3 linked regions of the Oryctolagus cuniculus genome follow. Each later gene encodes a partner of the first gene's protein in a complex. Links are inferred from orthologs where the notes say so. Each region holds a gene or a part of one and is shown on either strand. Other genes may lie near its edges.

What was found. The genes of interacting proteins can lie anywhere in the genome.
Region 2: E2F1 (region 1) and TFDP2 share a complex: the UniProt entries of both Homo sapiens proteins name them as parts of the DRTF1/E2F transcription factor complex. The link is inferred for Oryctolagus cuniculus from reciprocal best matches to the Homo sapiens genes E2F1 and TFDP2.
Region 3: the proteins of E2F1 (region 1) and CCNF are in contact, whole or in part, in a cryo-EM structure (PDB 9CB3), measured with the Homo sapiens proteins. The link is inferred for Oryctolagus cuniculus from reciprocal best matches to the Homo sapiens genes E2F1 and CCNF. Residues at the interface, in NP_005216.1 of Homo sapiens: Gly84, Arg85, Pro87, Val88, Lys89, Arg90, Arg91, Leu92, Asp93, Leu94, Glu95, Thr96; in NP_001752.2 of Homo sapiens: Met309, Ile312, Leu313, Asp315, Trp316, Glu319, Val320, Met323, Arg349, Leu352, Gln353, Trp379, Leu380, Thr381, Asp382, Thr384, Asp504, Tyr505, Val508, Leu510, Thr511.

What each region holds. Positions count from the first base shown.
Region 1 is NC_091442.1:24,378,884-24,387,056, reverse strand, and holds the start of E2F1 (transcription factor E2F1), read right to left. Parts: upstream 4,601-8,173; 5' UTR 4,466-4,600; coding exon 4,220-4,465; intron 473-4,219; coding exon 382-472; intron 30-381; coding exon 1-29. UniProt on the Homo sapiens protein: Transcription activator that binds DNA cooperatively with DP proteins through the E2 recognition site, 5'-TTTC[CG]CGC-3' found in the promoter region of a number of genes whose products are involved in cell cycle regulation or in DNA replication.
Region 2 is NC_091435.1:139,868,970-139,876,699, reverse strand, and holds part of TFDP2 (transcription factor Dp-2), read right to left. Parts: intron 4,769-7,730; coding exon 4,647-4,768; intron 2,519-4,646; coding exon 2,471-2,518; intron 1-2,470. UniProt on the Homo sapiens protein: Can stimulate E2F-dependent transcription.
Region 3 is NC_091450.1:32,840,387-32,848,116, reverse strand, and holds part of CCNF (cyclin-F), read left to right. Parts: intron 1-1,125; coding exon 1,126-1,249; intron 1,250-1,482; coding exon 1,483-1,663; intron 1,664-1,861; coding exon 1,862-1,949; intron 1,950-2,828; exon of another isoform or gene 2,829-3,809; intron 3,810-3,880; coding exon 3,881-3,980; exon of another isoform or gene 3,981-4,041; intron 4,042-4,109; exon of another isoform or gene 4,110-4,482; coding exon 4,483-4,610; intron 4,611-5,217; exon of another isoform or gene 5,218-5,408; intron 5,409-5,631; coding exon 5,632-5,801; intron 5,802-6,636; coding exon 6,637-7,091; 3' UTR 7,092-7,730. UniProt on the Homo sapiens protein: Substrate recognition component of a SCF (SKP1-CUL1-F-box protein) E3 ubiquitin-protein ligase complex which mediates the ubiquitination and subsequent proteasomal degradation of target proteins.

The DNA of each region.
Region 1 (8,173 bases):
GCGTGACTTCTCCCCAGGGGATTTCACACCTGGGGAGACCAGGCAAGGGCCCTCAGCACCCACTACCCACCCCCCAGCTAGGCTTGCCTCCCTGGCAATGCAAAGCAGCAGGAATGGGGGTGGGGGCCCGCAGATGGTTCCTCCCCCTCAGCCAGGCCAGGCAGAGAGGCCCAGTGGCTGCTGCCTGCCAGCCACCGCATTCCTTTTCCAGCCAGGGAACTCCCCAGCCCCCAGGGTCTGAGGAAGCCATGCCAGGCAGACCCCCAAGGCCTGGCTCAGACCCAGACCTGACCAGCCAGCCTTCAGTCTGCCACAGAGTTTGTCCACACCCTCACCCTGGGCCTGGTCAGAGGGCCTGCCAACCCCAAGCTCCATGGGTACCTTTCCCCGGGTGGCGGCCTCTGCCCCGGACGGGCACACTGCTTTCAGCCAGGTATTGATGGTCAGTTTCCAGGTCCAGTCTCCGCTTCACCTGCAGCAAAAACAATGGGAGGATGCCCAGTAACCAGGAGGGAGGCCAAGGAGACCTGGCTGGGAGCTTGGTGCCCGTCTTGGCTTTACCTAGATGCCCAACTGTGAGTACAGGAGATCCCAGGGGACACAGGCTGGGGGTGGGTCGATTACAATCCTGCCACAGGACAGACACAAAAAGGCAGAAGACCGGAGTTCAAGTCCCAGCTCCACCATTTTACAGCCAGGGCCCACATTTCGGCTGCAACCTCGAGACACCCTGAGGCAGAAGTGTCCGGCTAAGCGTGCTGCACTCCTGACCCACAGGAGCCGTGTGATGCACGATCCTCGCTCTAAGTCACTGAGCACAGTCCCTCGGGTAAGCCACCTGTCTCGGGCCTCTGAGGACTGAACCGTGGCAGCAGCTGGTGCTCGCAAGCACGTGGCGTACATTAGCCCTGTCCAGCCTGCGGACGGTCAGTACAAAAGCCCCATTTGACAGATAAGACAACTGAAGCTCAAGGATGTCCAAGGTCATCCAGCTAGGAAGTGGCAGAGCTGGGACTTCGACTCTGCACCTCCATGCCCTCTGGCTCAGTACAGACGCTCGAGGGTGGTGACTGTCCCCACTGTGCCAGACAACTCAAATGTGCCCTGACCAAGACCAGACCTCACTCTCCACCAGCCTCTGACCTGGGACCTCAATCCCTGCCTGCTTCCTTCCTCACATCCAGGTGCCCGGAACACACACCGCAGCCACTCCCTGGCTGGTTCACGTCCACGCTCACGCTGGCGTCCTTTCTCCGCCTGCCATCATGTCCTATCACGTCACTGCCCTGCTCGAGAGCTTCGCCTGGGGCCAGCGCTGTGACACAGTGGGTTAAAGCCCTGGCCTGCAGCGCCAGCATCCCATGCACCGGTTTGAGACCCAGCTGCCCCACTTCCAATCCAGCTCTCTGCCAGGCCTGGGAAAGCAGAAGATGGCCCAAGTCTTTGGGCCCCTGGATCTGCTTGGGAGACCCAGAAGCAGCTCCTGGCTCTTGGCTCTGAATCAGCTCAGCTCTGGCCATTGCAGTCATTTGGAGAGTGAACCAGTGGATGGAAGACCGCTGTTTCTCTGTAACTTTCAAAAAGCTAAAATAAATCTTTTTTTTTTGTTTTTTTTGACAGGCAGAGTGGACAGTGAGAGAGAGAGAGAGAGAGAGAAAGGTCTTCCTTTGCCATTGGTTCACCCTCCAATGGCCGCCGCGGCCAGCGCACCACGCTGATCCGAAGGCAGGAGCCAGGTGTTTCTCCTGGTCTCCCATGGGGTGCAGGGCCCAAGCACTTGGGCCATCCTCCACTGCACTCCCTGGCCACAGCAGAGAGCTGGCCTGGAAGAGGGGCAACCGGGACAGAATCCGGCGCCCCGACCAGGACTAGAACCCGGTGCGCTGGCACCAAAGGCGGAGGATTAGCCTAGTGAGCCGCGGCGCCGGCCCCAAAATAAATCTTAAAACAAAAACCTCTCCTGATGCTCGTCTGCCAAATCCTCTCCACACGACCTTCTGTGGAGCCTCGCTCGTGACACGTCTGTACCTCCAAGCCACAGCCCCGGCTGCCCCTGCCCCCACACCTGCTGCTTCCACCTCTGGTGGGCACTGGGCTTCACCAAGTGGCTGCTGAATGAACCCCTGAACCTCCTCACAGGCTGGCCATTTTCTATGATAAACATGTATTAAAGTGGAAAACGTGGACTTTTCAATGGCCATTGACAATGGGGTGTGGCTAGAGGGGCAGAGTCAAGGGGAACAGCTGAACTGTATACAACCTTGTATACAGCAGGTGCTCAGTGAATGGTCACTGGTAAAGAAGCAAAGTCTGTAGTTTATTTCAAGGACAATTCCCAAAAAAATATCAGTACAGCAAGTGGAGGACAAATGCTGGGCCTTTCTGAGCCAGTCCCCTTCCCCACACACCCACACCCAAAAACACCTCCTGGCACTAAGGCCTGGGTGGGCAGAACTCCATAGTGGCCCATGCCAGCACCTCCTGGGCACTTACTCCTGGGCACTTACTAACTCAGCACGCTCGGGCTCCTGACGCCCTGGGGGCAGAGCGGAGGGCGTTTCTCCCTATGCCACGCCTCCCCTCTGAGCCCTGAGCCCACAGCCCTCACCTGGAACTCCGCTCCCCCAGCTCAGCACCCACCGGCTGTTAGGTCTCTTCAGTACTGGGCCTGCTAAGCACTTGTCACCTGCCCAGCTTCCAAGCTGGCCCCTGGGGGACAGGAGACAGGCCAGGTGACCCACCCCTGGGACACCCTTCCCCCCCCCTCCCCGCTCTCAGGAGGAGGGTCCCCAAGACCTTCCAGGGCTTTCTTCACCCTCCATCAGCTTGGTAGATCCACTGCCCCGCCACTCACCAAGCGGAGTGGGGAAGGTCCTAACACCTCGAGGCCTCAGCCTCCCACCTGTGCAGGGAAGGCTGCTGACAGGGTTAAATGAGTTAATTGGGTAAAGTGCTTGGCACAGAGCCTGGCATACAAAACATCCTCAAAACAATGGCGGCCACTATTGTTATTATTATTAGCATCTTGGTGATTCCGGAAGGAAGGCAGCACTGGGCACAGTGCCAATGGGGTTGAGGGGCCCTCGCAGGACGCCTCGGGGACCAGCTGCCACCCACACTTCCATCAGCAGTAGAGCAGCTTCGAACTCCTAGTCCTGGCCCCTCCCACTGCTCCAAGCCCCCTGCTGAGACCCCATCCAGCCCGGCCAGCCCCTGCCTGCCTGCCCGCCCGCCCCACCTTCACCCACACCCTGTGCCCGTCAAACTGGTCCCCACACCCTGTCCCGCGGCCCACAGGTCCGGGCTCCAGACCTCCACTCCCTTCTCCCACCGGAACTCAGCCTCTCTGGGCTCCCCTACAAGAGCCAGTCCCGAGCACCGCGCTGCTCGCTCATCGGGGAGGACTTTCCAAGGGACCTCCCTGGTTGGCGTCCTTTCTCCTGGCAGCCAGCTCCCAGAGGCCCAGCCCACCCAGCCCTTCCACAGAGGCTCGGGGTCTGCCTGCCTGATTAATGAGGCTCCATGGCAACCAGGGTCTGGGAGGGTGGAGGGTGGCAGATGGAGGGGATCAGCAGCTGGCCCGGCCACCCCGCCCCTGCGGAGAAGGCCTCCCAGCCGGGAGCCTGTCCCCAGAGGCCTGCAGGGCCAGACTGCACCTGGCGGTCAAGCACGGGGCCGGAAGGAGGGTCTCCTCCATGCTGCCCCCTCCAAGGGTCAAGCCCCAGGAGTGTCCCCAGCCCGCCTCGCCTCCCTAGGCAGCCTTGCCCACTGCCCCGCCCCTAATTCTGGTCTCAAGCCGGCAGGCCTCAAACCCCAGCCCGACCACCTGCAGCCCTGAGACCAGGGGCGAGTCACTTTCCCTCTCCGGGCTCCCCCAGACGGCCATGGTGACAACTCCGAGCTCACGGCGGGGTTGTGAGTTTTATTTAGCTGGCGAGAAATCTGCCACAGGCTGGCACACAGTAAGCGCCAACTGAATACACGTGGGCTATTATCGCTCAGGCCCACAGCCCTGAGGAGCCAACAGGGACCCGCCCGAGGTCACCACGCACCCCGGGGCGGGGCCCGGAGGCCCAACCCAGGCTCTGGACCGCCCAGCCCGGGCGCCTCAGTCCACCCCTCCCCCGCCCCCGCCGCCTGCGAGCCAAACACCGCACCCGCCCGGGTGCGCGCGGGGCCGTCAGGCAGGCTTTCGGCCCGGCGTCTCCGGAGTCCGTACCGGCGGGCGGCCGAGCGCCGGACGCGGCGCGCTGGGTGTGGGTCGGGGCGCCTGCGGCGTGGCGAAGAGCAGCAGGTCGGGGTCGTGAGAGCCCGCGGCGGGGCCGGCGGGGGCCGGCGGGGCGCTGGCGTCCTGCGCCGCGGAGATGATGACGATCTGCGAGGAGTCCAGCAGCCGCAGCGCGCCGGCCCCGAGCAGGGCCTCCAGCGCCGGCGCGCACGGGCCGCCCGCGGGGGCCACGGCCATGGCGCTCACGGCCCGCGTGGCCCAGGTGGCAGGCGGCGGCGGCGGCGCGGGCCCATGGCGACAGGCCCCGGCGAGGGCTTGATCCCGCTCCGCCCCCGGCCGCCGCTGCCTGCAAAGTCCCGGCCACTTTTACGCGCCAAATCCTTTTTGCCGCGAAAGAGCCACGAGCCGCCGAGAGCCGCCACCATTGGCTGTCCGCGCTGTGACGGAAGCGGCGGCGGCGGCGCCCATTGGCTGCATCGAGCACGGCCGGCGGCGGAGGGCGGGACGGGGCGGCGGCGCGGAGTGGCGCGGCCAATCGCAGGGCGGGGCTCGCGCAGGCTTTGTCGGGGCGGTGCCCAGCGAGCTCGCACTCCCCACCCCCAGCACGGGCGTCCGCGCCGGAGGCGTGCGGACTGGGACCCCGCCCCGCCCTGACACACCCCGTTCTGCTGATTCCTCTTTCCTGAGGCTTAGGCCGCGGGGCCTCGGTCCTGCGCGTTTTCCGGTCAGCACAGCCCTGGTGACCCGCCCCCAGACCCTCAAGCTAGGGCCCCTCCACCCTCAGCCCAGGTCTGCAGACACCGCCGCCGCCTCCTCTGTGCACCCTCCAGAGATGCAGCCCCATCTCCTGTCCTCGGCGGCCCCCACCTAGGCCATTGCCTCAAACTCCTCGCCGAGCCCCAGCCGAGGGGGCTACCAGGAAGTGCGGGGGGCCTCAGTTCTGTTGCCGCGCGGCTGCGGCTTGCGCTGCCTCTGTGGTCCCCTCCTTAGTGGCGGCCCTGGCTGGGGCCGTAAGGGGCGGCGGCGGACAGAGAGGTAGCAGCTGTTTATAGCATGAGGAGGTTTCGGCCATGAGAGACCTCACAAAGGGAAGAGGCGAGGCTGCCGGGCGTGGGAAAACATCTAATCCCGAGGCCCTGAGACACCTCCATCAGCACCTCCCACTGCTCAGCTCGGCCGATTTGGCCTTGTGTCTGCACTGGGGACAGAGATGTGAAAGACGTCCTAACTGTCGAGTTTGCCTGCTGCCTGGTGAGCGTGGCCCACAAGCAAAAAGTAGCTAGGACACAAACAAGAGTCAAATACCACTTCTTCCAGGGAGCCCTCCGGAGTCAGTTACTCACTTCTTCCACTGCCGGCTGCGGCCTCTGTTCCTGCAGTTGCCTCCTCTCCCCGCCTGGGAGCTGCAGTGATTGCTACTCCCAGCTCGGACTGGTCCACGAGCCGGCGCTGGGAGAGGTTCTGAAAGGACAGGGGCCACCAGCGTTCTCGGAGTCGACCTTGTGCCCCGGCTTCAGAAGCACCCCGGCCTCCCTGGCCCTGCCAGTTTAGAGTCTCTGAATAGCCAGGGGTTTATATTTTACCAAGTACCCTCCCCCACCCCAACACACACCCTCATGCCAGGGGCGCTCACAGGTGTGTGCTCACTGGTGAGAACAACTTGGTTTAACCAAAATGCGTGGTGCCGCCTCAAAGCACAGCTCCTGGGGATGCTTCTGGGCCTTGGTTTCTTCGTCTGGGAACTGGGCCCGCAGACCCTGCCCTGGCCCCTTCCAGGGTTGCCACGAGCCGGAGGGAATACGGGTTTGCACATGTTTTGTAATAAAGTGGTGTTTGGGAAAGGGGCAGGCATTTCTCCTCCCTCTGATAAGCGGTTGGTGAAATGCTATTGCAGATCCTGCAATGTGTCCGTACTCGAAGAGGCCGCACGTTCAGGGGGAGGTGGTGGTGCAGCCAGTCAGCGATAGACTGGCCTCCGCCGGGTTCCTGGCGTGGCATCCGCCTGTCCCCTGTGCTGCCATCCCCAGGGTCCCCCATGCAGAAGCTCAGCGCTAGATCTCATTCGAAATCGCCAAGCCAGGCACGGACAGCACAGGCAGCTGGCACATTCCCACTTCCGGTGGACAGTTTCCTTGCTCCACACCTTCCCAAAGGGTCCCAATGATCAAGACTCTTTTTTTTAAAAGATTAATTTATTTGAGTAAGAGATCTTCCATCCACTGCGTCACCCGCCATGTGCTTGCAACAGTCAGGGCTGGACCAGGCTGAACCCAGGAGTCAGGAACTCCACCCAGGTGTCCTTCATGAGTGGAAGGAGTCAAGTACTTGAGCCATCCCCCGCTGCCTTCCAGGTGCATGAGCAAGAAGCGGGATTGGAAGCAGAGTGGCTGATTCTTGACCCAAGCACTCCAGTGTGGGATGCAGGCATCCAGAGTGTGGCTTACACTGCGGTGCCGCCATGCCTGCCCCAGGCATAACCCTTCTGGGAAAACCCTCTCATACCCAATAGTCGTTCAACAAATACTGAGTACCTGCTACAGGTAAGCAGCATGCTAATTGCTGGAGAGGGAAGAGCTATTTTTCTTCTTATTTTAGGATGAGGAAATCACGATCTTACCAATTAGATAAAAAGGTTTGGTAAGGCCAAGGCCAATGGTTTTCCAAGTGCCTGCCTTCCCCAACGTATTCAACTACATACCTGAGGGAGAAATAAATGCCTTCCTTCCCACAATCCCTTGTGTCCTACTGCAGCAAAAAGGAGTGAAGCCCGTAATTCCCAGCATGAAGCCAAGGAGGAGATAAGAGCTCTCTGGATCTATTAATGCCCACTTAAAAGCAGACAAGCCTGATGGATGGGGTCCCTCGGCCCTGAGCCTGGCAGATCCCGATAAGGCCGTTCTCAATGTCAACAGTCCTCCTTAGGCTGACAGGCTTCCGAAACACTCACAGTCACCAGGCAGCCACTTCCACCCTCTCCTTTCAACCCGATAATCCTGCGAGTGAAGCTTGTTTATCCACGTGATACAGGAAGGGGGAGACTCAGAGAGGGGCGCTCAGGACTCAAGGTCACACAGCAGAACTGAGATGGGCACTCAGCCTGCTCTACTGCAGAAGCCGGGGCCTGCCCTCCATACTTGCCATCCAAGAGCCGGGCTCAGGGCTGTTGTGACGATAGAGTGCGGCTTCCAAAAGATCTGATGATGGAGTCCGGCTTAGTGACAGGTGTTCACAGTTGTCAGCACCTCCGCCAACCCCCTCCTCTGGGAGTGCAAGGGGCTGGAAGCTCCTGGGCCCATGATCCCCTGCCTGGAAACAGCCTTTCCCTGGTTCCTTCCAAGAGGCAGCGCAGTGGAACACAGGCTGCTAAGTCACGTGGGTACACAGGAATCCTGGCACGGAGATTCGCTCCTCTGAGCCTCACTCCTTCAATCCAGATACTTACTGAGCACCTAGGATGTGTCTGACTGTGTGCTGGGTGCATGGGAGACAGTTATAAGCAGCTCACAGTCCAGTGGGAAAGTACAGAATGACGTCTATATACCTACACAATATGCTTGTTAAGAAGTCTGACAAATGGGGCGGCGCCGTGGCTCACTTGGTTAATCCTCCGCCTGCGGCGCCGGCATTCCATATGGGTGCTGGGTTCTAGTCCCAGTTGCTCCTCTTCCAGTCCAGCTCTCTGCTGTGGTCCAGGAGGGCAGTGGAGGATGGTGCAAGTGCTTGGGCCCCTGCACTCCCATGGGAGACCAGGAGGAAGCACCTGGCTCCTGGCTTTTGATCAGCACGGCGCCAGCCGTAGCGGCCATTTGGGGAGTGAACCAACGGAAGGAAGACCTTTCTCTCTCTCTCTCTCTCACTGTCTGTAACTCTACCTGTCAAATAAATAAATAAATAAATAATTTAAAATAAATAAAAATAAAAAAAGAAGTCTGATAAGCGATACAA
Region 2 (7,730 bases), on another chromosome or scaffold:
CCTTGTCTGCCTGGCTCTCCTACTTACCCCCAGATTAGTTTACATATTTGGCTTTGCACTCACCTTCTTTCCAAGGTAGCCATTACTGTTCCACTGCTCACTACATCTCACCCTTATTTTCTTACATAGCATCTACTGCAATCTAGAATTATCTGGTTATTGCTCCCAACCCATGATAAGATTTTTAAGGGCAGAGATTTACCCATTTGGTTTATTATTGCCAATGCCTACAACAGAATGAGTGAACACTTGATAAACATCACTGAAGCAGTATACAGATTCTAATTATATTGATTTTTATTAGCTTATTGCTTCATATACTACAAATTGTAGCCATTTATTATCAGTTTATTATATATAAACTGAGTTTTAACTGTATTTCTGACAGGAAAAAAAGACATTGAGATTAAAGGAGCATAAAGACAGAATGACCCATCACTGGGCTAAATCTTATTTAGGACAGGAATAAAGAAAACCATACATAGCAATCCTTGTGGACTACTGGGAGGTGGGACACAGTCCAGAAAAAAATACATTACAAAATAAAAGAATAATAAAAAGGCCACAGAATCGAAAGTAGAAAGTTGAGTGAGGGGCCAGTGCTGTGGCGTAGCAGGTAAAGCCACCACCTGCAGTGCCGGCATCCCATATGGGCTCCAGTTCAAGTCCCGCTGTTCCACTTCCGATCCAGCTCTTGGCTAATGGCCTGGGAGAGCAGTGGAAAATGGCCCAAGTCCGTTCAGTTCGGTCCAGCTCCTGCCATTGTGGCCATTTGGGGAGTGAACCAGAGGATGGAAGACTTTCTCTCTCTCTACCTTTGCCTCTCTGTAACTCTGCCTTTTAAGTAAATAAATAAATCTTTAAAAAAAAAAGTTGAATTGATGGCTCCATCGATAAATTCGACCTAGCATCTTGCTGAGTGACTTCATAGGGCTCTCTCAAGGAGGAAGGGTAACAATGGGCTTGTTTTTATGCTGTTTGCAGTACAAAGGTGCCATCAATCAGAGCTAATGAACTGCTCCATTGTTTAGGCCTCAACCACTGCTAAACACATCTGTAAGAACACGCACTGCTTCCCTTCCCGCTGATGAACGCCAAGACCAGTGGGAGTTGGAAAGAGGACTCCATTAGAGAAAAGAACACTGCACCATATATTCTACATGATACACAAGTTCCTCAGATGTGACTGGCTCTGTACAAAACAGCTAAGAACCAAGAAGCAAGCAGCAAAGGTAACCGAGGAAATAAAGCAGCAGCACAGTCCATGCAAGAAAACACAGAAGGCTGAGTCTCTATGTATAGGGATCTCAAGGTCCTCCCACAGAGCCTAATCACACTCATGTGGACTGAGTCCTAACAGCTCTGGCCACCTAGCTTCTCAGTGCACAGCAAATCAGAGATTAGAAAATGTGGAAGACAGAAAACTATTATATCAAGAGCAGATGACTTAACAGGAGGAAGTAGATTAAGCACAATCTACAAAAATGAGTTACAAAATTTCAGAAATTAAAGCAAACCCAGAAAAGAATAGCTGGAAAGGTTTTTATTAAAAATAGTGGCAATCGGGGCAGGTGTCTAAACTAGTCCTGAAGATGCCACATGGGATGCTTGTATCCCATACTGGAGTGGCTGGGTTTGAACCCCAGCTCCCTGATTCCAGCTTCCTACTAATGGGCACCCCAGGAAGCAGCAGGTCAGGGAGCTTGGTCCCTGCCACCTGCTGGGAGAGCTAGACTGACTTCCTGGTTCCTAGATTTGACTTGGTCCAGTCCCAGCTTTGGGAGGTATTTGGGGAGTGAACCATTGGGTGGGAGGTCTCTTTCTACCTTTCAAATAAATAAATAAGAATTTAAAAAATGATAATCTTAGAGAGTTCAATTGTCACTGAGAATATGAGTCTTATCTTAAAACAGTGCAGCGTTAATATGGCACCTCATATAGTGGTTTCCATGAAACGCTGAATTTGCGTTCAAATAATGACCCCAAGTTGCTTTCTCTTAGTCCTGGAGTTTCTGACTTGATGGCCATTTATATTTTATTTTACAGACCACAAGTGATTCTGAATGAGGAATTACTATTGTAATATTCTAAAGAAAGGTAATAACACACTCAAAATATTACTTAAAAGAAATAAGTAATATTTTACCAATATCTACAAGTGTTTTCAATAAAATCTACTTATTAAAAAGTCTGGGTACATTAAAGTAATGTGAATATTCACTTGGGTAAAACACTTCATCTCCCAAAGTGAGGGAGGGGCTAACCAACACACCACCAACAGCCAACCTGCTCTCCAGATGGTTTCTCCCGAAACCACCCACTGTTACCAGAGAACAGGAATACTCGATATGGAATGAAATCGTGGTAGAAGCTGAATTGCAAGTTATAGGAAAAGTATTTCATGACTTAACACAGAGTGTGGGCGCCACACAGCAGAACACGCCAGACAAAACGCTGCACCTCTACTCACCTTTCTGAAAAATCAGAGTCGATAAATTCTCTAGCCCGTTTCCTATCACTAAAAAGAAAAGACAGCATAAAAACACTTAACATATACACAACTTTATTTAACAGGGAAGTATTATAACTTGTCTATTCCTACACTGAATACATCCAAAGACAAGAATTAACAAAAATAAAAGATACGTACAAAGTTTTAATTTTACCATGGGACAAAGACATCATGACATAAAAATCATAGGTTGAAACAAGCTTGACAATTAATATTTAGGGAAGAAATCATTGCATATTTACAAGTAAGAAGAGGAAAGTTTATTCGTTCTGGAATGGCTGACAATAAAAACACTAGACAGTCCTGTCAGCCCCAATATAAAGTGGGAGCTGAAAACACACAAATCCTGGTTATCTCCAAAGTGAGCCGACACTACTGGAAAGGGCTTGGTTCTCGCGTTAGAATCCTTCAGGCCATGTAGAAATCCAAGGTTAACTTTTAGACCTACATGAGAATTTTCCATGAGAATTTTCTTAAGGATTGAGTAAGGGTCATAGGGCTACAGGTGATTCTGTCATTTCATCTTATTAAGATGCTGGAAAAGCATGTACACATATATAAGACTCTCTGTCTCTCCTATACATGTATGTGTTCATGTATACATGTATGTATGTGTGTATATAAGCATGTATATGGCCTAAAGCATTTGTTAGGATTGTTATTCCATTAATTCACTTAATATTTTTAAAGGAGATTCTAGCTCACACATGACAGAACCATCAATGCAGACCCCACTGTGTAAATAACTCCTAAATTAACAACTTCAAGGTAGAGATGAGTATTTGGCCTAGTGGTTACAACCCCGGTTAATACATCCTCATTCTACACTAGAGTACCTGGCTTTGATACCCAACTCCAGCTCTTGATTCCAGCTTTCTGCTGATGCAGGCCCTGGGAGGCAGCAGTGCTGGCTCAAGTGACTGGGTTCCTACTACCCACATGGATTAAAGATGCATTATTATCTGGATAAATATAATAATCCATAAAGATCTGGATTAAATATCGGGTCCCAATTTGGTCCAGCCTCATCTCTGCTGTTGCAGGCAATGAGCCAGTAGAAGAGAGCTTGTTCTCTGTCTCTTACATTCACTCACTCTCTGCCTTTCAAAATAAACAAACAAATAAAACAAAAAACTTCTAAAATGACAAAATTAGATTTGGAGTCATTTATCTTAAAGTGTTTCTTTTTCCATGGAAGGATGAAATGCTAAAATGAAGGAGTGAGAAATGTTGGGTAAGGATACAAAGATTTGATACTAAGAGTGGCAAATGAGTAACACTGAAGGGACATTTGTTTAACTGGCCAACATTCAAAAAGAATCAAGGGATGGGGCTGGCATTGTGGTACAGCAGGTTAAGCTGCTGCTCGTGATGCATCCCATACTTGGGTACCAGGTTAAGTCCTGGCTACTCTGCTTCTGTTCCAGTTCCCTGCTAATACTCTGGGGGAAGGCAATGGAAGATGGCTCAAGTATTTGGGCCCCTGCCACCCACATGGGACACCAGATGGAGTTCCTGACTCCTGGCTTCAGCCTGGCCCAGCCCTGGCTGTTGTGGCCATTTGGGGAGAGAACCAGTAGATGCAAGACCTTTCTCTCCCTGTCTCTCGCTCTTTGTTGCTCTACCTTTCTAAGAAATAAATACACCTAAAAAAAAAAAAAAAAAAGTGGAAAGGAAAAATCTAATGCAAAAAGATACCTGGCCTCTTTTCCCTAGTTCCTTTTCTTGCTTTTATGGAAATAAGAATTCAGAGGGGAAATCTTGAGAATATCTAATACTTAATACATAACTACTTAAAACAACATACAAGACAGTTTTTATGTCGCCAAAGCAGCTCAATACTACAGCCATAAGAAGCAGTCCTGTTTCAGAGCTGAGAAGCCAGGAGATTCAGTTACAAGTTACTGTACTGGTTACTGGTTTTCCTGTTTACAAATGGTTGCTCCAGAGACGATTTATATCTAAGATGTAAAGTGAAATAAAGTAAGTGATTCTAAAGGAAACAACATTGGTTTTTATGAACCAAACTAACATAAAAGAACAGAAGACAAGAGAAGTTAGGGAAAAAAGTTCAGAGCTCTTTTTAGAATTTTCATTTTAAGGTTTTAAAAATGGTAATTTGCAACACACTTACCTTGGGACCCAGCCAGCAGCTTCTGCTATGTGTGTCTGAGTAACCATGGCTGGTGCAGGGGTGTATGGACTCCCAATCAGAACACTTCCTGAACTGGTTAGTCTCTGTGGTGTGCTTATAATCTGCAAAGTGAGGAACAAAGAAAACACTCTTATTGATTAAAAGGAGAGTACAAGCTGAAAATCTATACATGAGGACAACACCTTGCTGCCCCACCACCTAAAGTGTAAGCAACTTGTTTGATTATATTTCTGTAATTATATCCTAGGATCTTAAGGTGTCCTTAATATCAACACGAGGTCACAAAACAGCTTTCAGCAAGTAAACAGCAACCTTGAAGGCTTCCTTTAAGTACCAATTAAGAGAGAACAACATCTATAAGGACTACATCTCCGTTACTAAAGCCTTAACACAGAAGTGACTATTCTATGCAAATGAATGCTAATTAACTCCTTTCACTGTTTAAATGAAATCTGTTTCTGAAGCCTCAGTCTAAGTCACCAAATTAATTGTTAGCTTGCTCCACACAGGAACCAAAGGCAAGGATTCTTAGGCATTTCAAGCTCTTCTTTTGCATTTGAAAGAATAACCTCTGACCTGTAACAACAGTTCAGATTTAGCTGCTAAAGGGTAGTCCACATTTGTACACTTACTATTAGGGAACTTAGCTTCTGTTTCTGTTTGGCAATACATCAGCTTGTGGCTAGGGAGATGTCAGTACAACAAATATTCAGGAATAATTTTGGTAAGTTAATTCTATAGTTAAAATAAAACCAGGGGCCAGTGTTTTGACGTAGTGGGTAAAGCAACACCTGCAACACCAGCATCTGGTATGGACTCTGGTTTGTTTCCTGGCTGCTCTACTTCTGATCCAGCTTTCTGCTAATGTACCTGGGAAAGCATCAGAGGAAGATGGCAAGTACTCAGGCTCCTGCCACCCAGGTGGGAGACCCGAATGAAGCTCCTGGCTCCTGGCCTAGCATATCCTTGGCCATTGTGGGCATCTAGGGAGTAAACCGGCAGATGGAAGATCTCTGTCTCTAACTTTTTCAAATAAGTAAGTAAATCTTACTAAAACATAATATTAAAGTAAAATTAAACCATAATAGAGTAGATGTCCAGAAAAATTGTGATTATCTACAATATGCATTCTGAAGCCTGCCTCCTGAGAAAAGATGAAACTTTTGTACCTCACCGAAGTCTGCCTTGCACCCTAGGGATGTGCAGACCTCCCAGGCCTCCCCACATCTCACGGCACCTCCCCACTCCCACCTCCCTGCAGGATCTCCACAGGCAGCAAGCAAGCACACCTCGCTAAAAACTGCATCCTTTGCTGGGTCTAGCACAGTGCAGGGGAATGGAAAGCATGATAAATATTTACTTAGCTGGGACAGTAGCCCAATTTCTAAAATTATGGGTAGGAAAAAAAGTAGCTTCCTCATTCATTGGTATGCTAAGAAAGGATTATATAAAACTCAGCCAGAAAAAAATGTATAATATAAAGTGCACAGTTCTTTCCATGCATCCCTAATTTAAATGTAATCATATGGTTTCTCTGGTAACAGATTAGTTAGGCAGAAAAGTCAGATAGTGCTGGACTTCAATCTGAAAATTTTCTGTGTTCAGTCAGCTTCCTGATGCTCTACTGCCATCTACAGTCCGAAAAGCCAAGAAAGCAGACATATTTTGAAGGGAAAAAGAATCTACATAAAGTGTTTATTAAAGGCTTCCATTACTCGACAAAATTTCGGTTTTTACTACAAGAATTTTTTTAACCTACTGAAATAAGATGGCCATGAAAATTCTCATCTATCAAATCATAAGATATGCATTTATACTGCTAGCCTCCAAGGTAAGCTGCAGGAGATGAACTGTCAGAAGGCAAACATCCCACATTAGTTTCCATAACCACAGAAAACAAATGAAACCTATCCACCACCCCCACCCCCACCCCGTCCCCACATCCAGCTTCCCAGAGAGGAGAAGGGTGAAGGGTGAAGGGCAGGTGGAGAGAGATGGCTGCTAGCAGCAGACAGCAAGGCTTCATCCAAGGGCTACCCAGATAACGAACACTTTCAAAGGCCATGGATAAGGAATTGAGGGCGAGGGGACAAAGTGCAAAGAACAGGAAGAGAACTGAGAAATGGCTCTAATTGGGTATCTCAGTCCATTTGGGTTGCAGTTAACAAAATGCCTTAGACTAGGGGATGTGCCAACAACAGAAATTTACTGCTCCCTGTTCCAGAGGCTGGGAAGTCCTAAACCAAGCCACAGACCAATTCCACGTCTGCCAAGGCTCCTGCCTGCTGCACTCCCATGTGACAGTGAGGGTGCTGGGCCTCTTTTATGAGGGCACTCGCTGCTCCCACTCAGGACAGCAAAGCGCTCACACCTCTCCACCTCCTCTGCAGACTACCACAGTGGGGGTTAAGCTTGAACAGAACGTGGGGGAACACATTCAGAGCATAGCATTCTGCCCCCAGCTCCACCCTCCTCCACAAACTCCTATGAGTCTCACACAGAAACATATTCCTTCCACTCCAACAGCTGTGGAAGTCTTAACTCCTTCCAGTATCAACTCCAAAATCCAAAGTCTCATCTCTATCAGGTATGGGTGAGATCCAAAGGGGTGATTCATCCAGAGACTAGTTCCCTGCAGTGGGAGCCTGTGAAACCAGACAAGTTACATGCTTCTGAAATACAACCCTGGGACAGGCACAGGATAGACATTCCCAGAAAAAAGGGATAATAGTTCTTAACCAAATTCATACCCAGCAAGGAAAACATGAAATCTTCAGGTCTGAGAATTAATCTTGATACATGGGACTGGGCTGTGAGTCCCCAGACTCCAGGGCTTTGTTGGGACCGGCCCAGAGTGCAGTTCTCTTCCTCCTGCCTGCGGTTCGCCCACCACTTCACTGGGCATTTCTGCTGTCAGGGCTTTCTACAGAGCCCCACCCCGTCAGCAGGTCTCTGCCAGGGCATCCTCAAACTCAGACAGGAGCAACCAAGCCCACGCTCATGCACTCTGCCAGAGGCCCCAAGCGTTTTACCACCTGTGCTGTCTCGAGGAGTGGGTTCCGT
Region 3 (7,730 bases), on another chromosome or scaffold:
CCCCAACCCCCGAGGGCACCCACCACCTGCCCGTGTTCTCGGAGTCCGAACGGAGAACCGCCTCACGGCGTCTCAGTGCTGGGGTGACACCGCTCAAACCTGCCTGCCTCTGAGCCGCCGTCTGCCCAGACGCAGAGGTCCCGGCTAGGCTCACGGGGTTGGGCTTCCGTTTCATGAGGTCATGGCTTGTGGTCTGGCCCTGTCCTACCGCAGGAGCCCCCCCGGCCCTGTGACACCTACAGGTGTCTCTGCTTCACCCCTAAGCTGGGTCACAGGGGACGTGTAGTCTAGCTGCTCAAAGCAGCAGCACATCCGGTGGGGGGGACGCGGGTTCCAGGTCAGTGAGCAGAGCACTCCCCGGTGAGCTTGTGAATGGACCCAGCCGTGGGTGTGCCCACCACCTGCAGCTGGACAGGTGCAGCCTCCACAGTCCTGTGTCTGATGGCCCAAGACCACGTGACCGGGCCGCCGGCCGACTCCCAGTGGGAAACTAACTGCTTAGAAATGTCTTTAGGGCCGGGATGCCCCGCCTTCCCTCTCCGCAGCGGCTGCCTCTGCCCGCGTGTAGGCCTGTCCCTACACACCAGCCCCTCCCATCCTCTGCCAACCCATGACGAACGTGCAGACTGCAGAGTTCGGGACACGGCCTGCCCCGGCTGGGGAAGGAGTCCTCCGGGCCCTGGGGGCAGCGTGCTCCCTGATGGCCGATGCGGGGAGCTGGTAGAGAACAGGGTGTCTGCTGCCTCGGGCACCCGGCCGGGCACTTCTTCAGCCCTCTTCCAAGTCCTGGTCCCAAGAGTGCTCCACCTCCAGGGCTTAAATCGCTTGATAGTCGCTGTCACACGGCGGGGCCAGCCCTTGTCCCCAGGGTTGTTGGGGGCAGAGGGCCCAATGGCCGCACTGACCACCTCTGCCTGTGCCTGGTGGCTCTAATGCTCGTTCCAGCACCGTCTCCCTTTAGATTCCCCCCACCCCCCCGCTGGCCACAGGCAACAAGTCCGGTGTAACCTCCTCCTGCCGCTAAAGCCAACCCTCCCCGCTGACCTGGAGGCGTCCAAAGGCCCCAGGCCTCGCCCCTGCCCCAAAAAGTAGGCTGAGGGCTGAGCCCCCACCTGTGCGCTGCAGGTTCGTCAGCAAGGAGATCCTGACGATCCGGGAGGCCGTGTGGCTCACGGACAACACCTACAAGTACGAGGACCTGGTGCGGATGATGGGGGAGATCGTCTCCACCCTGGAGGGGAAGATTCGAGTGAGTGCCGGCGCCGTGTCCTTTGAAATCCACGTTACTGGGTCTGAGGCTGCGGGAGGGGCGGGGGACCCAGCATCCCTTGCTCCACGAGTCCTCGGGGACCCAGAGGCGGCAGCTGCTCTGCCACGCCCGGAGCGGTGTGAACGTCGTTGGGCCAACCCTAGACCCCCCATAGCGTGAGAGGGAGGGACCCTCCAACACGGAGCCCTCATGCCCACTACCCGCCTCTGCAGATCCCCACGGTGGTCGACTACAAAGAGGTCCTGCTGACGCTGGTGCCCATGGCGCCCAGGACCCAGCACCTGTGCAGCTTCCTGTGCGAGCTGTCGCTGCTGCACACCAGCCTGTCCGCCTACGCCCCGGCCCACCTGGCCGCCGCGGCCCTGCTGCTGGCCAGACTGGTACATGGGCAGGGTGAGTGCTCCGAGGGGAGGGGAGACACCAGAGCGGACCGCAGGCGTCGCCGGGGGGGCAGAGGCCCCAGAGCCACTTCAAGGGACTGCAGCTTTCCGGGAGTGTGGGACGGAGCTGTCAGAGCTGTGGGGTGGCAGTGGTCAGGCGGCCATCATGCCGGCCCTCGTTTCCAGCCTGCTTCCCTCCCTCCCTCCCCAGCACAGCCTTGGCCCACTCGGCTGTGGGACTTCACTGGGTTCTCCTACGAAGACCTCATGCCCTGCGTCCTGAGCCTTCATAAGAAGTGGTGAGTCTACACAAACCCTCCCGCCAGACGCCAGGGCAGGGGGAGCCTCGGATGCCACGGCGGGTGCCAGCCTCCCCTGCCCACAACAGCTGGGGCAGGGTACGAGAGCATCGGGCCACAGGCAGAGGGCACAGCTGTTCCTAGCCTGAGTGCGGACCGGCCGGGGCCAGGGCCGGGGCCGGGGCCGGGGCCGTTAGTGGAGCAGTGAGCTGGGAACAGCAGGGGCCGGGGCAGGGACTGCCTGGTGCTGAGTTGGTTCCGGCTGCGGCCATTTCCCTCGCCTTCCTCTCAGCCTCTCTGCTCCTCCTGCTGCTTAGTGCCCCTCCCTCTGGGGTCCCCCTCACCACCCTGGGGTCCGTGGCCTGGTGCTGCCTCTGCCCTGCTGCCCCAGACTGTCCCACTGAGCCTCCCTCCGGCCCGTCCCCGGTGTCTGAGCAGACGCCCGCTCGCTCGCTGGCTCCGCCTGTGGGCTGCATTTGGTGACCGCAGAATGTCTGCCTCTGTCACCCCTGGAGCCAGGCAGCTCTTGGGTCTGGTGAACTTCCTGACACACGGAAGTTCACACTCCCACAGAGGGATCAGGGCCTTGGGCGTGGGTGGCCGCCTGGCCACCTGTGGGCACCTCCCTTGCCCTTGTGCTGACCGGAGCCTTGTCTCCGGCTTCCAGGATGGCAGCACCCTGCAGCCAGCCCCCTCTTTGGTCCATCCGGTCGGGGGACCCACTGCCTTGGGCTTTTCCCGCTCTTTTCTCCTGAACTGCCAGGCTCCTCTGTAGCGGGCAGATGAGGAAGGGGGTGAGGATCAAGGGGCAGCGTGTCTGTCCCCCCCACCCCGCTCACCCCCGGAACAAGTGGACACCAAAAGCGTTGCATGGCAGCGTTCAAAGAGAAACTGGAAGGTTTTATTCAGGAACCGTACTTTTAAAAAGTGTCTAATAGTAAGCTTTTAAGATACAGAGTCCTGTAACCACCACCAGTGAATTTTAGTACATTTTCTCTCACACACACACACACACACACACACACACACATACACATACATACACACATGCACCCCCACCCCAACCCCCCAGAAAGAAACCCCAGGCTTGGTTCACTCCGGCTTCCTTGGCCCTTGGTAATCAATCTTCCTGCCGCTGGATCTGCCTATGCCGGCGTTCCATACCAAGGAGTCCCCGTCCGTGGCCTGTGTCTGACTGCTTTCTCTTGCCATCATGCGTTGCTTCATCCGTGTTGTGGCATGTGACTGGATAACATCCCGGTGTGTGGCCACATTGCCTTCGGTGACCCACCCATCCATCCACTGCACTCGAGAGTGGGAGAGACCACTGGGCACGTGGAGGCCGTCTGCCCGTTGTTGGGGGGACGCTGGGCACGTGGGAGCCATTTGCCCGTTGCTGGGGGGACGCTGGGCACGTGGGAGCCGTCTGCCCGTTGTTGGGGGGACCGCCAGACTATTCCCCAGCATGTCCTGTTATGGCTGGGATGGCTCTGAAAGTGTTGTCCCCTCCACGTCAGTGAGTTGAGGCTAAAGACAGGGTGGGGGCCAGCGCCGCAGCTCAATAGGCTAATCCTCCGCCTTGCGGCGCTGGCACACTGGGTTCTAGTCCCAGTCGGGGCGCCGGATTCTGTCCCAGTTGCCCCTCTTCTAGGACAGCTCTCTGCTGTGGCCAGGGAGTGCAGTGGAGGATGGCCCAAGTGCTTGGGCCCTGCACCCCATGGGAGACCAGGAGAAGCACCTGGCTCCTGCCTTCGGATCAGCACGGTGCGCCAGCCGCAGCGCGCCAGCCGTGGTGGCCATTGGAGGGTGAACCAACGGCAAAGGAAGACCTTTCTCTGTCTCTCTCACTGTCCACTCTGCCTGTCAAAAAAAAAAAAAAAAAAAAAGACAGGGTGGGGAGCTCACGAGTCTGCCTCCATGCCCGTTTCCAGCTTCCACGACGACGCCCCCAAGGACTACCGGCAAGTCTCCCTGACGGCGGTGAAGCAGCGATTCGAAGACAAGCGCTACGAGGAGATCAGCCAGGAAGAGGTGCCTCCTCCTGCTCACCTGGGTGTCGGGGGGCCAGGGGGAGGAGCCTCCTCCCGCTCACCTGGGTGTCGGGGGCCAGAGGGAGGAGCCTCCTCCCGCTCACCTGGGTGTCGGGGGCCAGAGGGAGGAGCCTCCTCCTGCTCACCTGGGTGTCGGGGGGCCAGGGGGAGGAGCCTTGTCCCGCTCACCTGGGTGTCTGGGGGCCAGGGGGAGGAGCCTCCTCCCACTCACCTGGGTGTCTGGGACCAGGGGGAGGAGCCTCCTCCCGCTCACCTGGGTGTCAGGGGTCAGGGAGGAGCCTCCTCCCGCTCACCTGGGTGTCTGGGGGCCAGGGGGAGGAGCCTCCTCCCGCTCACCTGGGTGTCTGGGGCCAGGGGGAGGAGCCTCCTCCCGCTCACCTGAGTGTCGGGGGCCAGAGGGAGGAGCCTTGTCCCGCTCACCTGGGTGTCGGGGGCCTCATCGGCCTGTGGGCTCCTCTCCACTCCCTGCCTCGGGCCCCCAGGTGCTGAGCTACAGCCAGTTGTGTGCAGCCCTGGGCGTGAAGCAGGAAAGCCCGGAGCCCGCGTCCTTGGTCAGCGCGGGAGACATCCACGCCTTCCTCAGCTCTCCGTCTGGGAGGAGAACCAAACGGTGAGTGCTCCGGGCCGGGGCTGTGCTGTAGACTGGCCTGTGCCCCTCAGCCACGCTGCGGCCCCCAGAGGGGGTTTGTGGGCTCAAGCCAGGCAGCCTGGGTCGGGCCATCCTCCTGATGACCGCCCTCCCCCGGTGGCTCCCGTTCTCTGTGCTGCCTCTCGCTGGCCAGGCAAAGCTGAGCTGACCATGGCACTGCGCCACCCCCTTCCCTCGCACCACTGCCCCGCGGCCCTCAGTCCGGCCTCCGTGTCCCTGCTGTGCCTCCTGGGATAAGCCCCCCCATCCTGTCCGCCCTGAAGAACTCCCACTGATCCTGCAAAGCCCACGTGAGCAGGGCCTCTGACTCCCCGCACGCACCCGTGAGCTGCTGTGGGCAGGCCCTGGGTGGTTTGTCACCCTTGTCACACACAGGGCCGTGCAAGGCCACCTCCACAGCTGGTTTCTGGGGCACGGGCCCTGGCAGCAGACGCCCGCGTGCTGCTCCCCCTTCCTCCCTGGGAAGCATGGGAGGCCTCCCTGCACTGGGCCCCTCCCAAGCTGACTACACGCAGGCTGAGACCCCCAGCACACACGCACACATGTGCACGCACTCACACGTACTCACGCATGCACTCCGGGAGGGGGTTCCTGGGCTGCCCATGTGCGCCTGTGTCTGCCTGCTCTCCTCCTGTCCGTTCCCAGGGAGACCTGGTGCCGCCTTTGCCAAGCGTGGCTGGCCTGCAGCTCCTGTTCTCGGCACCCGACAGTGCCATCGTCCTCCCAGCTTCCAGAGGGGCCGAGTGGTTTTGTGGGGTCCTGCAGCACAGTGGGCCAGGTTCACACCCTGCCCCAGGCTCGGTTTTCTCCAAATCGCCCTTCCCCCAGCCGAGCCCCTGCCCTCGAGGCCTTCCACCCATTCTACCCACAAACCTCTCGGGAGCACATGGCCATGAGCCCAGGGTGTGCAGGTGCGGAGGACTGGGTGGGCCCCCGACACTGCCGCCTCTGACCAGGCCTCCTGGGCTGTCCCCCGCTACAGGAAGCGTGAGAACAGCCTGCAGGAGGACAGGGGCAGCTTTGTCACCACCCCCACTGCAGAGCTGTCCAGCCAGGAGGAGACACTGCTGGGCAGCTTCCTGGACTGGAGCCTGGACTGCTGTTCTGGCTACGAGGGTGACCAGGAGAGCGAGGGCGAGAAGGAGGGCGACGGTGAGTGTCACCGGGGAGGGGGTGTGCAGAGGGCTGAGCCTGGGGCCAGGCTGGGGCCAGACACAGGGAGGCATGAGGGCAGAGCCCCTGAACACCAGTGCGGGGTGGCGGCAGTAGGGAGAGGGAGGCCTTAGGACGGCCAGTGTCTACATATATGCTACAGGCAGGCATATCGGTAGACCCTCTCCGGGGTGGGGACAGAACTCCCTGCCTGGAGTTCATAAGATCCTTTAAATTAAAGACACACTTGGAAGTCACAGGGGTGACAGATATCTTCCATCTGCTCGTTCACCCCAAATTCCCGCAAGGGCCAAGCCAAAGCCAGGAGCCTGAGCTCCATCCAGGTCTCCCACGTGGGTGCGGGGGCCCAGTCCTTGGGCCATCTTCCGCTGCTTTCCCAGGTGTGTTAGCACTGAGCTGAGTCGGAAGTGGAGCAGCTGGGACACAAACTGGCGCTCACGTGGGATGCCACGTCACGGGCGGCAGCTTAACCTGCTGTACCCAGTAAAATCTTTCTAGAATGTTTCTGAGATGTGTGCTTGTGTACATGAGCCCTGCTGTGCCGTGGGCTCTACCTCCCGGCAGGTGAGTTCCTGTGGATTTTCAGTTTTGTGTCCACCAGTGGTTAGGTGAGGTGGCCATTTGTTGTCACCCGCCACTGCCCAGAGTCGGCAGGCAGCTTGTCCACGTTACGCAGAGGCGAGCGGTGCAGGGGCTGACACAGGTGGGGCAGCGCATTTGGCATGGGGTCCGCCTGCTGGCTGAGAGCCGGGACCTGCCCCCACCCCACGCCCCAGCTGTGGTGTGACCTCTCCTGCCCCGACATTTCCCACAGTGACGGCTCCCAGTGGCATCCTGGACGTCACCGTGGTCTGCCTGGACCCAGAGCAGCACTGCTGCCAGGCGTCGAGTGATGAGGAGGCCTCTCCAGAGGCCACGGGGCGCCGGGCGCCGGGCACCCTGGCAGCTCCCTCCGCAGGGCCCGAGCCCCACGCCCGCAGCAGGACCGCGCCGGGCAAGGACATCACGACCTCAGGGTACTCCTCCGTCAGCAGCGCGAGCCCCACCAGCTCGGGGGCCGCGCCCCCATCTACCTCAGTGCCGTCCCCGGGCAGCAGCCCGCACACACAGCCTTGCCACCATCAGGCCAGGAAGTCATGTTTACAGTGTCGGCCCCCGAGCCCCCCGGAGGGCAGCGTTCCCCGGCCGCAGGTGAAGCGGAAGAACCGGTCGGCGCACAGTGAGGAGGACGAGGACGAGGACATGAACCTGGGCTTCCTGCGGCTGTGAGCTCGCCAGTGCCTTGCTGGGTGCCTGACTACTGAGGGGGGCTGGCCTGCAGGCCATGCGCGGGAGCAGAGCCCGTGGCCCACGGGTACGGGGGCCCTTCCTCCAGGAGCCCCGGGGGAGTGGACAGCCGGGGTCTGCTGCTTTGGAAGGTTCGGCCTCACAGCAGTCACGCACACCATGAGCCTGTCTGTCCAGACCCCTGTGTCCACCGTCTCCCAGCCCCTCTGAGCCCCGTGCCGGAGCCAACAGCTGCCAGGCTCAGCCGCCGAGAGCCTGGCGCAGCCTGGTCCCTGCCCGCGTGTTTGGCCTCGGGCTGCTGAGGGGAGCTGATGGCCGCCTGCCCCCTCCCGGGCTGTGCCGCCCCCAGCCTGGCCCCTCCTGAAGTCTGCCCTCCCTCGGAAGGGCTGTCCTCACCAGTGGTGGCCGTGGGCACATCTCGCACTGATTTTTGGGCCATTCTTTTTCCATTTTTACGTCTCTACTCCCTTCTTCCTCCAAGAAGAAAAAACCGTGAATGAGAAGAAAAAAATGAGGACTCGACTGAAAACCGACTCCGGGCCCTCGCTCTGGACTCAAAGGTTTTAGCCGGAAAAGCATTTTTTAAAGGAATTTGTCGTTCTTGGAGGGAGCCCAGAGGCA